Neodiprion lecontei: one gene and its partner. The protein of the gene in region 1 interacts with the protein of each later gene in a pairwise test. Links are inferred from orthologs where the notes say so. Each region holds a gene or a part of one and is shown in the gene's direction. Other genes may lie near its edges.

Region 1 (8,615 bases):
TCCGGCCTGGAAATAATACGATAAATGACCCCTTTGTTTTTCTCTCTACTGTTATCTGGTGTAAAAAAAAAAAGTAAGAAGTGATATCTGCCTCTCAAGGAAATTTTTAGTAAAAGTATTACTGATATGTATTTCTAAGATATGTAATATCAGTGCAGTAAGTTCTGATTCTGAATTTAACCTTTAGACCGCCAGTGATTTTAATGTATATTCAAATAACCCACATTTATATTATTTGACTATAGTTTCGTCAGTATACTGCGGCCTAAGGATTAATTCTGTACTTGGGAATCATGTGTAATGAATAATCTCAGCAAAACCAATTGCAATGAAAATGTACTAAAACAATCTACATTACCTTTTCAAGAGCGTTAATTTTGTCTTGAGCGCCACCTTTACCGCCTGAGATAATGGCACCAGCATGACCCATTCGACGACCAGGAGGAGCCGTCAATCCGGCAATAAAAGATACAACCGGCTTAGCCTTTCCACCCTACAGTGGAACAAATTGAATCTATGAAATTACAAAAATTATTCTCTACATTTAGCTGCGATTAGGGTGTAAGATTCTTTTTTTCCGTTCTAAAAGTGAAAAGTATTGATTGCAAAGTGCAACGTTAGTGAACATTGTTTTGTCTAAAGTCTAATCTTTAATAAATAAATCAATTAAGTATGGAAAGTCAGCATCAACATATCTTAAAACTTTTTGAATTCAGCAAGGTAGGATCGTAACTTATAGAAAAAACCATGCGGGATATATGGGTATCACTTCATGATTAGGTCTGGAATAGGATAAGGATGGATTAGGCATAATGGCGGGTCATGGATACCAATAATTCAGAACAGCAACCGACAGTGTTATGTTCCATGAGGTATTCAGCAGCCAACTCTTCAGCGCTACCCCCGATTTCTCCGATCATCACTATGCCTTCGCATTCTGGATCTTGTAAGAATACTTCTAAACAGTCAATGAAGTCTGTACCATTGAAGGGATCTCCGCCGATACCAACGCACAGAGTTTGCCCTAGCCCAGCCTTAATAATGCGAAGAAAATTGATTCATTAAAACCTGATTTATGGCCAAAGTATCTCAGAATTATTCATGTGTCACCATGTACGTTTTTTCTCAAGCAGAATTACTAAAATACTTTTGATTCATGTGACTCACCAGAGTTGTCTGATTTACAGCTTCGTAAGTCAGAGTCCCGGATCTCGAGACAATACCAATCTTTCCTTTTTGATGGATATGTCCAGGCATGATCCCAATTTTACACTGATATTGGAAAAGAAATAGGTAATTAAGCTCTTTACGGTTTTTACGTATGAAGATACTAGAGCAATACATTTGTCACTGAAGATAATGAAAGAAACATAAAAATTTACCTGTTCTGGAGCAATGATTCCTGGACAGTTGGGTCCTATAAGGCGAGACTTGTTCTGTTCAAGAAGACGCCTCTTCACTTTTACCATATCGTGCTGAGGCACACCTTCAGTGATACAGACAATTAGAGGCATTTCTGCATCCAAGGCTTCCATAACTGCTGCTGCTGCGCCGGGTGGTGGAACATAAATCACCGAAGCCGTTGCGCCTGTAGCTTCTTTGGCCTATAAAATACATAAACTAAATAAATATATAATAACATGCTTCAAGATTAAATGTCAAATTTCAAAGGGAATTTTTTGATTTTCAATCTCACTCTGGGTATGCTAGGATATATAGAATGAGAATATGTTCAAAATTAAGACAGGAACTTTGGTGTTGAAAGGTTTCATTCTTGAGATTGTCGCTTGAGTTTATCCATATTTTTATCGATGTGGGAATAAAAAAAAAAAAAAAAAAATAGAACGAACCTCTTTGACAGTTTTAAATACAGGCTTGCCCAAGTGCTCTGTTCCAGGTTTTTTGGGATTGACACCACCCACAATTTTGGTCCCATAATCAAGTGCTTGTTGACAATGAAATGTTCCTTGTTTGCCTGTAAATCCCTGGCATATGACTTTGGTATTTGAGTTTATTTTCAGGTTTTTCCTCGTGTCCGTGTAGTTGAATCTTACTTGGGCACGGAGCAAGCTGCTTCGACCTCCCACTAAAGCAAAAATCATTCAAAATTAGTTATATTTCTACTATGCAATGCTGTATCAATATTGGACCATTCCTTGAAATATCTAATCCAAATTCTCTGTAACGCTAATAAGCTCTAATTCTAAGAGCCATATGTCACAAATAGCACCGTCAATGCAAACAGAAGATAATGAAATTTACTCAACTACCTTAAAGGTTATGCTTCTCACGATTCAAGTATACTTGTTCCAAAGATTATAGGCCGGAATAGAATAGATAGACATAATAAAGTTTAAAAATAGGTAAAATAAAATGGAAATTTTTTTTTCATGTAGTTTAATTACAATGATTAACACATTCTTAGATGCAATTACAATGGTATCAATAAAATCAATGTCATATAAATACTCATTCCTGGGAATCAGAAATATTTGAATTTGTTATTTCTATGAACAGTATCTTATACCACAAGAATAAATGACTATTGGTTCACTCTATGAAACAACATTACAAATTGTTGCTTAAAATGATGAATTTTTTGCGTTCTACAGAAAATTTATCATTATTTAAGTTGACATGTTAAGCATACAACGGACGCAGTAGGACGAAACAAGTATTAATAGGGTAATTGGATGTCGACCTCTTGAGGGAAGAAATACCGAAAGGATTAATGTATATCATGAAATTATCCACAGTCCGGTCACGAAAGCATGAATCTGACTTATCTGCCAATGGCACTTGACTTATTAATTAGTGATTCGATCTTAGGAGATTGTCAAGCAATTGAAAGGATTATTGAGCAATTTGATAGAAGCAAAAATGTGGGTTAGATTACATAATGTACACGAGACAATTGTCTCTTTTGATTTGAGCCATCTGGGTCAAGAGCGAACAGCATTCGTAGGGTTAAAATAAAACGGGGTCTATGCAGGTGCGACTGCATAACGATATACGGGGCTTAATTTATTCCGGAATACATTTTGCTTGCGGTACGACTTGTGATATTTTCATTGTATCAATGTTTAAATTACCGACCTGTGATTTTTGATAGATTCCTAACAGCCGCAGCCATTTTAATAAATTTGTCGAGAAAAATTAATTTCAGAACGAACTACGGACTTGACACCATGGACGGGGACAGACAGCCTACTCCTTAATATCTACGATTCCTACTACCATGATATATCCTTGGTGAACAAACCGAATGAAGCGACTCAACACACGGTTAAAAGCGTTCAACGCGAAGCAGTGCTGCTTGCTACGATGTAGAGGCGCTGCCTTTATCCGCCAACTATAAGCTATATATAGGTAAATTGGCTAACTATAATACTAGTACGTACTAGTTAGTCGTTTTAACCAACACAATTTTAGCAGTTTTTGGATTTTTAATGGTGAACCACATGCGCGTATCGAATATGAAAATTTTATACTTTCATAGCACGATATGAGCGTACTTTGCTCATATTCACAGAGATACAACCGCAACAGATCTTCTAATCCTACCAGACGTCGATAATTAATATTGAACAATTTTAATGCATACGATAAGACGTTGAATGGTGACGGAAGGATTTAAAGACGGCTTATATCCCTCGGCGCAAATTTTTATGGCTAGCACTTCACGGCTGAGAGTCACAACAAGCCGTGTTAGCGATTCGGTAGCGTCTATCAGTGGGAGCCGTTCACGCAATTCTATAGGCACACAAACCATATGCAAACCCGCAGTCTACCTCCTGGTCGGTCCCCTGACACACGGTGCTAAAAGGGGTTCGCAAAATGTTCCTCGATTCTGCTGTTAATTTCCACCAATAGTGGCGCTAGTAGTTACCTGACGAGCTTGCGCGCGGTCAGCGAGGGCAGCGAGCGTGTCAGAAGTCTACTACTAGCGCCACGTAGAGGAACTAAAAAACGGGGACAAGACGCGTACAATTTTTTTAGTATACGAGCAGTGGTGAGTGTCAGAGGGCTGCTCCTGGTCAATCTCTCTGTAAGCCTATGGGTGATGCACGTTCAGTTACACATGCCTATAATATATTTTGGTGGTGAAGGCTCGCCGCGTGCCGCACGTGTTAACCTCACATTTTGGTAACACGGTTTCCTGAGTGAACTGGTTTCATAGCAAAAATGGTAAAGAAAAGTGTAAAAAGGAAGCGTAAGGAGAGTGAGAAGGCTAAAAATGTTGAAACCGAAGAAGTGGTGAAGTTCCCGCCATCGAAACGATCGTCCGATGAACCTGCGCCGAAAAAGGTTATTTTATATTCTAACCTCGTCAGTTACTGTATTACAGGTGTACAGACAAACTGCAATCACGCAGCTCACATTTCTCTCAAGACAGAAATTCTCCATTCCCAGTCCACCTTATTGCTAATTTACACCTTTTTCACGGAAAGAATAGTCGCCGCGTCTATTCGCACTACAAAGTGAACCTACACAGGACACTCCAAATATGCCAAATGTTCGGATCTCTTGAATTTTTTGGAATGAATTAGAGTGTCCGAACAAGTTTTCAAGCCATACCATTTTTTACGTGAGTATGATTTGTTTAAAAACATTCACTGAGGGTGACAGACACCGACAACATACTTCGCATCTTTCGTGTGTGTGTTTCAGTTTTGGACAGTGCTAGAGTATAATCATTTATTAAAACTCTAGCAACGGTATAACAGAAACTGAACTTAATCTAACCTTTGCCACACAACTTTAGCGTGCCTGAAATAATACTTTGGATATTTCAATTTTTTGCAAAACAATCGGGACAAATAAACATTTGGCTTATGGAATAATTGGAGTGCCTCGTGAAGATTAACTCTAGAGTGAATAGATACTTTGAAGAATATTTATTTTAAATAGTCATTTTTGTTTCGATAGACGAGATGGATAAACAAACAACGGGTGCTAGTATTCGCATCACGGGGAATTAACCACAGAGATCGTCACCTAATGGAAGATATTAAACGACTTATGCCACACCATCGCCCAGAGAGTAAAATGGAGCGATCCAAAAATTTGCAAGTTATTAATGAGATGTGTGAAATGAAAAATTGCAACAAAGCCATGCTTTTCGAGGGCCGAAAAAAAAGAGATCTGTACATGTGGTTGTCTAATGTTCCAACTGGACCATGTGCGAAATTTCTTGTTGAAAATGGTAAGTATTTAACCAATTATGTACAATTAATTTGACGTACATTTTTGATGTTTTTGCTCGAAGTAGCTAATGCTGCCATCTCAATATTTATTATTAAACAGTGGGTTGTTTTTTAAAAAAAGAATTTCCTCAACCTAAAACTTTGAAAGAATAAAAATAATTGCCTGAATAATACATATTTTTGGTTCTAGTTTATACAATGGCAGAGTTGAAAATGACTGGAAATTGTCTCAAAGGGTCAAGACCATTGCTATCTTTTGATGAGAATTTCAATGAGAAACCTCAGTATGGTGTCCTGAAAGAATTATTGACACAAATATTTGGAGTACCAAACCACCATCCAAAAAGTCAACCGTTTTTCGACCATATTTACACATTTAGTGTTTTAGATAATCGAATATGGTTTAGAAATTTCCAAATTTTAACGGAGGATGGAGCACTAGCTGAAATAGGCCCCAGATTTGTTCTTAATCCTGTGAAAATTTTTACCAGCAGTTTTGGTGGTGAAACGCTTTGGAATAATCCGTATTATATTTCTCCAGCTAAGGTATTTTCAGTACTTACAACTCAGGGTTACAGTACGCTTTTGAGACTTATTAATTCAGTGATATTTTAATCTTTTTTTTTCAGTACCGTCAGTCATTGACGAAAAAAGCAGCTGGTAAATACATGAACAGGATAGAACAGAAATTGAATGCAGAATCTAATAAGCCGGCGGAATCTTATGCTTTGAACCCATTAGATGAGATATTCAAAGGGGATCCCCTGGCTGCGGCAGAAAAAATGGAAGAGTTACAAGAGCAAGGAATTGACGAATCTGCCAAAGTTGAAAAGAAAAAATCCCTCAGAGTAAAGTTCGTTAAGAAAAAACCGAAAAAGCATTTAGTGGGTAAGCAGAATAAGAAGAAAAAATCAATAGTTGCCAAAAAAATTAAAAATTGAACGAATTTATTGTACGAACTTCTGACGCACTCTGTTGTAATAAAATACATGCATATAAAATATTATCGTATACAATTACTGTCAATTACGAATGCCAAATCCTTCGTGTGAATGTTAGTAGTTGTTTTATTTAAAATTATGTTCACTTTCAAATGTAAACTTCAGTGTATAATATTGGTTCCTTAATTTAGATTCAGGTATTACATTAAAGTTAGAAGCATCTTCAAACAGCAGTGAGTAAATGCCATAGGATAGCTCACGATGCCTTAAAAAGTATCAAAATCCATTATTTTCTTCATAAAAATCTTATTGAGGATTAGAACGTTATAAAAAACCTATAACAATTTATTAAATATCACACGCAGAAATATATTCATGCCTATATATGTATATATCTCTCCCGACAAAATGTATTATTTCTTCTTATGTACGTTTCTACAACAGCCTGCCAAAATCATTCGAAATAGAAATATTAGTACTATCATATGGTAAGCCAATAACTTTCTTCATAATCAACGCAATCGTATAATTGCTACAAATTTTGTGTGATAAACTTAATAACAGTTCTTGTAAAAAATATTCTATTACCACAAATATATATTTTATGATCATAACAAATCGCGAAAAGCGTGTTTGCTTATACCTACGTATGTATGTACAAAGTAATTCCATTTAATCTAGACAGTAGACAATGTATCTGAATGAAACTGCGAGTAAATGGTTCAGACGTGTGTTGTACAATATTCCTGGACGGTACAAATAGAAAATACAACCTTGTTCATAAAAGTCTTAATCTTCAAAATGTTAACCAACATGAATGATTTTTGCAAATTATTAACATTGGATTATTTGTTACATATTTAGGAACAGAAAAAATTGTGAATTATTTAACAAGAGTTAAGAACCACCGAATAGTTGTCTCTTTAAGGAAATAAATTGAGAGTCATGATATGGAAAAGTCTTTCATTTAATTTTCGTTTGAGAATCATGTAATTTGAGAAGAAAAAAAAATATGTTGAATTTTGTACTTCTATCAATAGACAATATTTTTCTGTAGATGGTATGGTTAACATCTATATCACAATTGTGAAAGTATTGATTGTTTTCTCGAAAGCCTCGATCAGCTATTCGAAATCGTGTCCAGATATTTTGGAATGCATGCGAAATTAGAGGCACTTAAACAGGATAATGTTATATGCAGTTAATTCTATTCACAAATTGTGCACAATGTTTTTGTGTATCACTATATTTTTATTATCACTAATCGGTGTTCGTAATTCTAGTATATGCTGTATTTACGACAATCAATATTTCCTGTTAGCTCTAATATTTTGAACGTTTAAGGTACGTGAAGTAAAACTTGACAAAAATTTTATGTTATTCAAGATAACTGATGTGCATAGCAAATTTGAATATTATTGAGGAAGTATTTATTATTAGAAAGACTTTAACGGATGGAAAAAAACCAGAGTTCAAACTGTCTTAAAGTGAACTGTGCGTGATTGTAAAATTACTAAAAAGATGTGTATATGCTATGATTGCACTGATGATATCGATGATACGTTATTCTCATAATATTTACGTTAGATGTAGTCAGAAAATTTATAATGCTAAGAAGCTCGAAAAAAGTGAGCAAATTTATTTTTTTGCAAGTAACTCACGTTAAAAAAATGCTTAGCCAGAGAATGGCCAGCATTGAATTTCCAAATGTATCTACTGATTCGTATATGTAATATTCATAACTAAACCAGGCTTATGATATCTATAGATAATGTTTCATAAAAAGTATTTAAAAAAAAAACTGTTCCGTAAATTGCGTGAAAAATAGGTAACCAAAGTTTGTTTATGAAATTCGTAAAGAATGATATAAAATTCTCAAAAAACATAAATAAGAATATTGTTTAACTATAGTATATCTCAGCTCGTATTGGGGAAGTAAATACCTACCTTAATAAAACAGTAGAATAGAACAGACGAGAAAAGACTTTTTAATACTTATTGGTTGATTGGAGACAACTCGAGTGACTGTTGACCGTTGGTGCTAGGATTAGCTGATCCTACGTTAGCCAGAGCAGATTGTCGCCATTTACCATTTTCTCCATGTAGATTTTTGTCTTCGCAAATGCACAAAAATAAGGTGTCGATTACAGTCTGAAAAAGAGAGAAGACAACGTGTAAATAGTAAAAAATTATTGTGAAGTATCATCTACCGAAGAAATACGGAATACGTAGTATTGGAACAATGCTTATGTGTAATTCAATTCACCTCATAAAGTGAGATGACACTGTGTGCAATGAAGAACGCAAATACGCAAATGACAAATATTGGTGCTGCATAAAAATGTAACGTTGGATCCTGCCTTAGGAATAACAATCCGACACTTCCAGTAGCTGCAGTTACAAAACATTTACCCAAGAAGAGAATAAAATCTCCTATACCGTTTATTACTGCTATCTGCAAAGCATT
Region 2 (4,120 bases), about 1.4 Mb from region 1:
TGCATGCCTTAGGCGATGGATAGCTACCCATAGTGATAGGCCTAACCCATTTTCGTGTGTCCAAATCTAATCGCCATAGATCATTGAAAGTGGTACACGTAGCTGTACAACCACCGAACACATACATAGAATTTTCATAAGTACATGCCGAATGGGAATGACGTTTTCCGATTGTCGGTACCCACTCGGCTTCAGGCCATGTTTTCCAAAAAAGTGAGCCCAGGCCAACTGCTTTGTGGAAATGTGCCTCACTGTGTTCTATTACATCTAAAAAATTCTTGTTGTTAACGTGGAGTTAAAAAAATTATTAGAAATGAAATTCACGATTCCAATGAATTGTTAGGAAATATAAATTTATAAACGTACTGCGAGTAGCGCGATACCATCGTTTAGAAACCAAAGTGCACTCTTGAAGATTTTTATAGGGGGGTATCAAGCTCAATATGTATTCGAGGATCTCGTCAGGTAGGTCGTCTATCTTACAGAGCATGTCTAAGGCTTGTAATTCATTTGCTTATGCTACGATTACGAACGTATACTAGTTAAAAATTGTACAATTTACGAATATTTGATTACACGGTCTGCACATAACCTTCCAACTTTGTAACCAACAGAATCCATTGTTCTTGTCTAAAAATTATGATTATGTTTTCGCAAAATTAATATAAGTGTGCAATTATTGACAACTTTGATCCTAGTCTTCGAGTCATTACACATATTACCGCGCAAAATACGTTTTACGACATTTGAGTTCACATTTTTTTTATGCATTTGGATAGTTCTCCCTCAGTGGCTAGTACTAGGGTGCGTTCCAAAATATACTTGCAGGACTGCCTAACGTGACGTCACGCAGTCAACTACAAACCAGAGGACGGAACCGCGAACCGCGTACTGTTTTTTCTTCCAGTTTCAAGTACCCCCTCCATCGAAGGCCCGGCCATCTTTCAACTGCCCACGTCCGTTGATGATATAATAGGTATGTTAGTATAGGTATACCTATGCGTGATCAGTGCTCACGTCCCAAACTATTCAGTGTTCCCAAACCTTCCACACCGCGGTAGTCGCAATCACATCATCACGAATGTCAGACGTCACTGACTGGCGGTAGGTCGAGGGCGGTAGTAAGGGGTGCTTTCCATTTAATGACTCAAATCGACTTGTGTCACTATTTCTGGTGTAACCGGCCAATCTGGGAAAAGGAATACACCAGAAATAGCGACACAAGTCGACTTGAGTTAGTAAATGGAAAGCACCCAAGCTGTCGCACGATTTCGGAACACGGTTGTCAGTATCTGCAGTACTGAAAATATATTTCGGAACGCATCCCTAGTTGAATTACTAGGAATATCAGCACTAGGCAGAGAGGAGGCTTCAAGCTCTACATTTTACGTGTTTTACGTGTTTCCAATTAACTTGCTTCCTGCAACGTGAAATATGTTTCTGGAACTAATTTTCGACGTATCCAACGGTAAATGCATGTCGTTAACCAACTAATACTCTGCCTTGAAATATTTTTTAATATCCAAAGAAGACTAAGGAACAGCAACTCGATAAGAATTTCCCTTGCATGATACCCTCTAGAGAAGTTCATATGAACTACGATTTTTACACTTGAAAGCGTGGATCATCTTAAATGTTCTGTCACCTATGTTCGTATGACGTATCTGAAATACATTTGCGCCGAAAAATTTAATCGCGTGTGCAACAATGATTGAAGATTCCAACGATTTCGAAGATTCTTCAAGCGAAAGTAATGACGACGAAAACAACGTTCGGGTGCCGACTGATGTGAGTATAAAAACTTTTCAACTTTCTGATGGACTCCCACCATGTAATCGGCGTGGTGTAAGTATTTCCAATTCTAGAAGTACGAAAGATACTAATCGTGCCAACGTGCCGACGAAGCATGGTATCGGTGCAAAGCCGGAAATACTCTATGCTATATTATTTTAAATAAACTGTGTACATCTGTACAACCTATTCCTCGCTCGATTTATGAATATATTCGATCATTTTTGTGTCTAGAACATAGTGGTGAATTTGCCGTGCTGTATAATCATAATATAACCTCACTTAACCTAACCTAACCTAACTTGATATACCATCGCATGACTTGATGGGTTGTTTATTCTCACACTTCATCGAAGTCACATTTCGTTGAATTCGAACATTTAAAGTCAACTTATGTTGTTGGATAAAAGTTTCCTGCTGATATTTTTTACAACTACGAGACCGTCAGTATTGATGTTCAATATTATCCATTTAACTTGAGAAGGTCCTACGAGACTAATTTAAGTTTTCATTTTTTATTTTTAGGTTGACATTAAGCGAAAATTGAATGAGTTCAAAATAATATTGCCATGGGTTGAGAGGTTGGACATAGTGAACGCACCTGCGCCTTTAGCGCCAGAATTGGCCCTACAAATGCAAGAGCAAGAAGTCCGCCGAGCAAAGCAGCTGCAAGGGAACAAAAAACTACCACAATTCTCACCTTCGGAAGATCCGATCTTGAATGATTTCAAAAGAGAGATGATGTTTCACCGACAAGCTCAGGGTGCGGTCATGGAGGGTATTGCTAAATTAAAAAAGCTTGGTCTAGTGACGAAGAGGCCGGATGACTATTTTGCAGAGATGGCCAAGTCTGATCAACACATGCAAAAAGTTAGGGAAAATCTCATGAAAAAACAGGTAGAAGCACAAAGATCGGAAAGAGTTAGACAATTAAGGCAACAGCGAAAGGTTGGTAAACAAATGCAAATTGAAGCAAAATTGAAAAAGCACGCTGAGAAAAAGAAAATGCTTGATGAGGTTAAGAAATATCGCAAAGGTGTAAGAAATGATTTGGATTTCTTGGATGACAAGAAAAAGCCTAGTAATAAAAAAGCTGGAGTCCAACATATGGATAAAAAGGCCCAAGCGAAATTGAAAATGAAGAATTCGAAGTATGGTTTTGGCGGCAAAAAACGTGGCAGTAAACAGAATTCCAAATCTAGTGCTGCGGATGTATCGGAGTGGAGAAAACCTGGTAAACCAAAAAAGGGAAAGGGTGCTGGGAGCGGTAAACAGAGGCCCGGGAAAAATCGTCGTGTTCAGATGAAGTCGAAAAAAAAATGAAACGGCCAGCTTTTCAGTAACTGGTAAATAACGTATCGAGTGCAACATCATGTTGTAAATCACCTATATTTTGTATATGTAACTAAAATATATAGATAAAATAATTTTGTAAGAAACTATAGGAGCTCTCTTTTCGTTCTAATATTTTTTCTAATTATAACCTTCATTATTATGCTATATCTTATATTGCGCGATTTATGTCACAATAAACTACCGAATATAGAGTGATGTATTGCAGTGTTATAATGTTGAAAAATTGAAAATGCAACTAGCTGTTAATATTTTTAAATATTTTCTTGAAATTTTTCGTATCCGACGATGTGAAAAGTATTTACGAACATTCATAGAGCCAGTGAAGATACATTCTGAAATGTCGGATCGGTTATCACGGCATGTTTCAATTCTGTTTTATATTCTCTTGAATTCGTAGTACCAATTTTCCTATCAATCTTTTTCTGTTATAACGCGTGTTTCTATTTCATTGAATTTATGATTTAAAATTGGATAAAAAACGATTCTCATTACGGAAAATAATTGGTTTGTCCACTTTCTCTGCATTTTCTATTTGAATTAACATATCAGCAACATCCTTTTATACTTCAACATTTTGAATGTCATCGTGAACTATCATCGAATTCTATAAATTTACCGGAAAAGTGCACATAAAAAATTGATGAGACGAACTATATACGTACTTAATCACGGGAATCTGAGTTTACAGGTACATTTTTGTACATTTGTGTATACCGGGCCTAAACGTGGAAACAAGCCACTCGGCTTCTACAGATAGGCAATCGGGCGTTAATATTTCGCTTGTGAGATGGCAAATTGTAACTGGTTGCCACGATTATGCTCGGTATATAATTTTGTATTGACGAGTGATCAGTCAATCAGCGTATACTTGGTCTGGAATTCGAAAAACCAACTAAAATCTCGATATCACGCTGGCGCCCATATTTTATAGACGTACAAAATCAGGGCAAGCGAAATTCACTCCCTTGTAAAA

The links.
Region 2: the proteins of ribosome biogenesis protein BRX1 homolog (region 1) and probable rRNA-processing protein EBP2 homolog interact in binary tests that used the Drosophila melanogaster proteins (3 or more experiments, as listed by UniProt). The link is inferred for Neodiprion lecontei from reciprocal best matches to the Drosophila melanogaster genes CG11583 and CG1542.

The regions. Positions count from the first base shown.
Region 1 is NC_060263.1:32,445,711-32,454,325, forward strand, and holds ribosome biogenesis protein BRX1 homolog, read left to right. Parts: upstream 1-4,042; 5' UTR 4,043-4,185; coding exon 4,186-4,308; intron 4,309-4,929; coding exon 4,930-5,206; intron 5,207-5,397; coding exon 5,398-5,753; intron 5,754-5,836; coding exon 5,837-6,148; 3' UTR 6,149-6,210; downstream 6,211-8,615. Other genes in the region: succinate--CoA ligase [ADP/GDP-forming] subunit alpha, mitochondrial, read right to left, coding at 1-6, 359-493, 831-1,034, 1,168-1,272, 1,383-1,604, 1,851-2,086, 3,097-3,133; choline transporter-like 1, read right to left, coding at 8,144-8,299, 8,415-8,615. UniProt on the Drosophila melanogaster protein: Required for biogenesis of the 60S ribosomal subunit.
Region 2 is NC_060263.1:31,077,531-31,081,650, forward strand, and holds probable rRNA-processing protein EBP2 homolog, read left to right. Parts: upstream 1-1,600; 5' UTR 1,601-1,707; coding exon 1,708-1,788; intron 1,789-2,316; coding exon 2,317-3,114; 3' UTR 3,115-3,235; downstream 3,236-4,120. Other genes in the region: F-box only protein 42, read right to left, coding at 1-267, 367-490. UniProt on the Drosophila melanogaster protein: Required for the processing of the 27S pre-rRNA.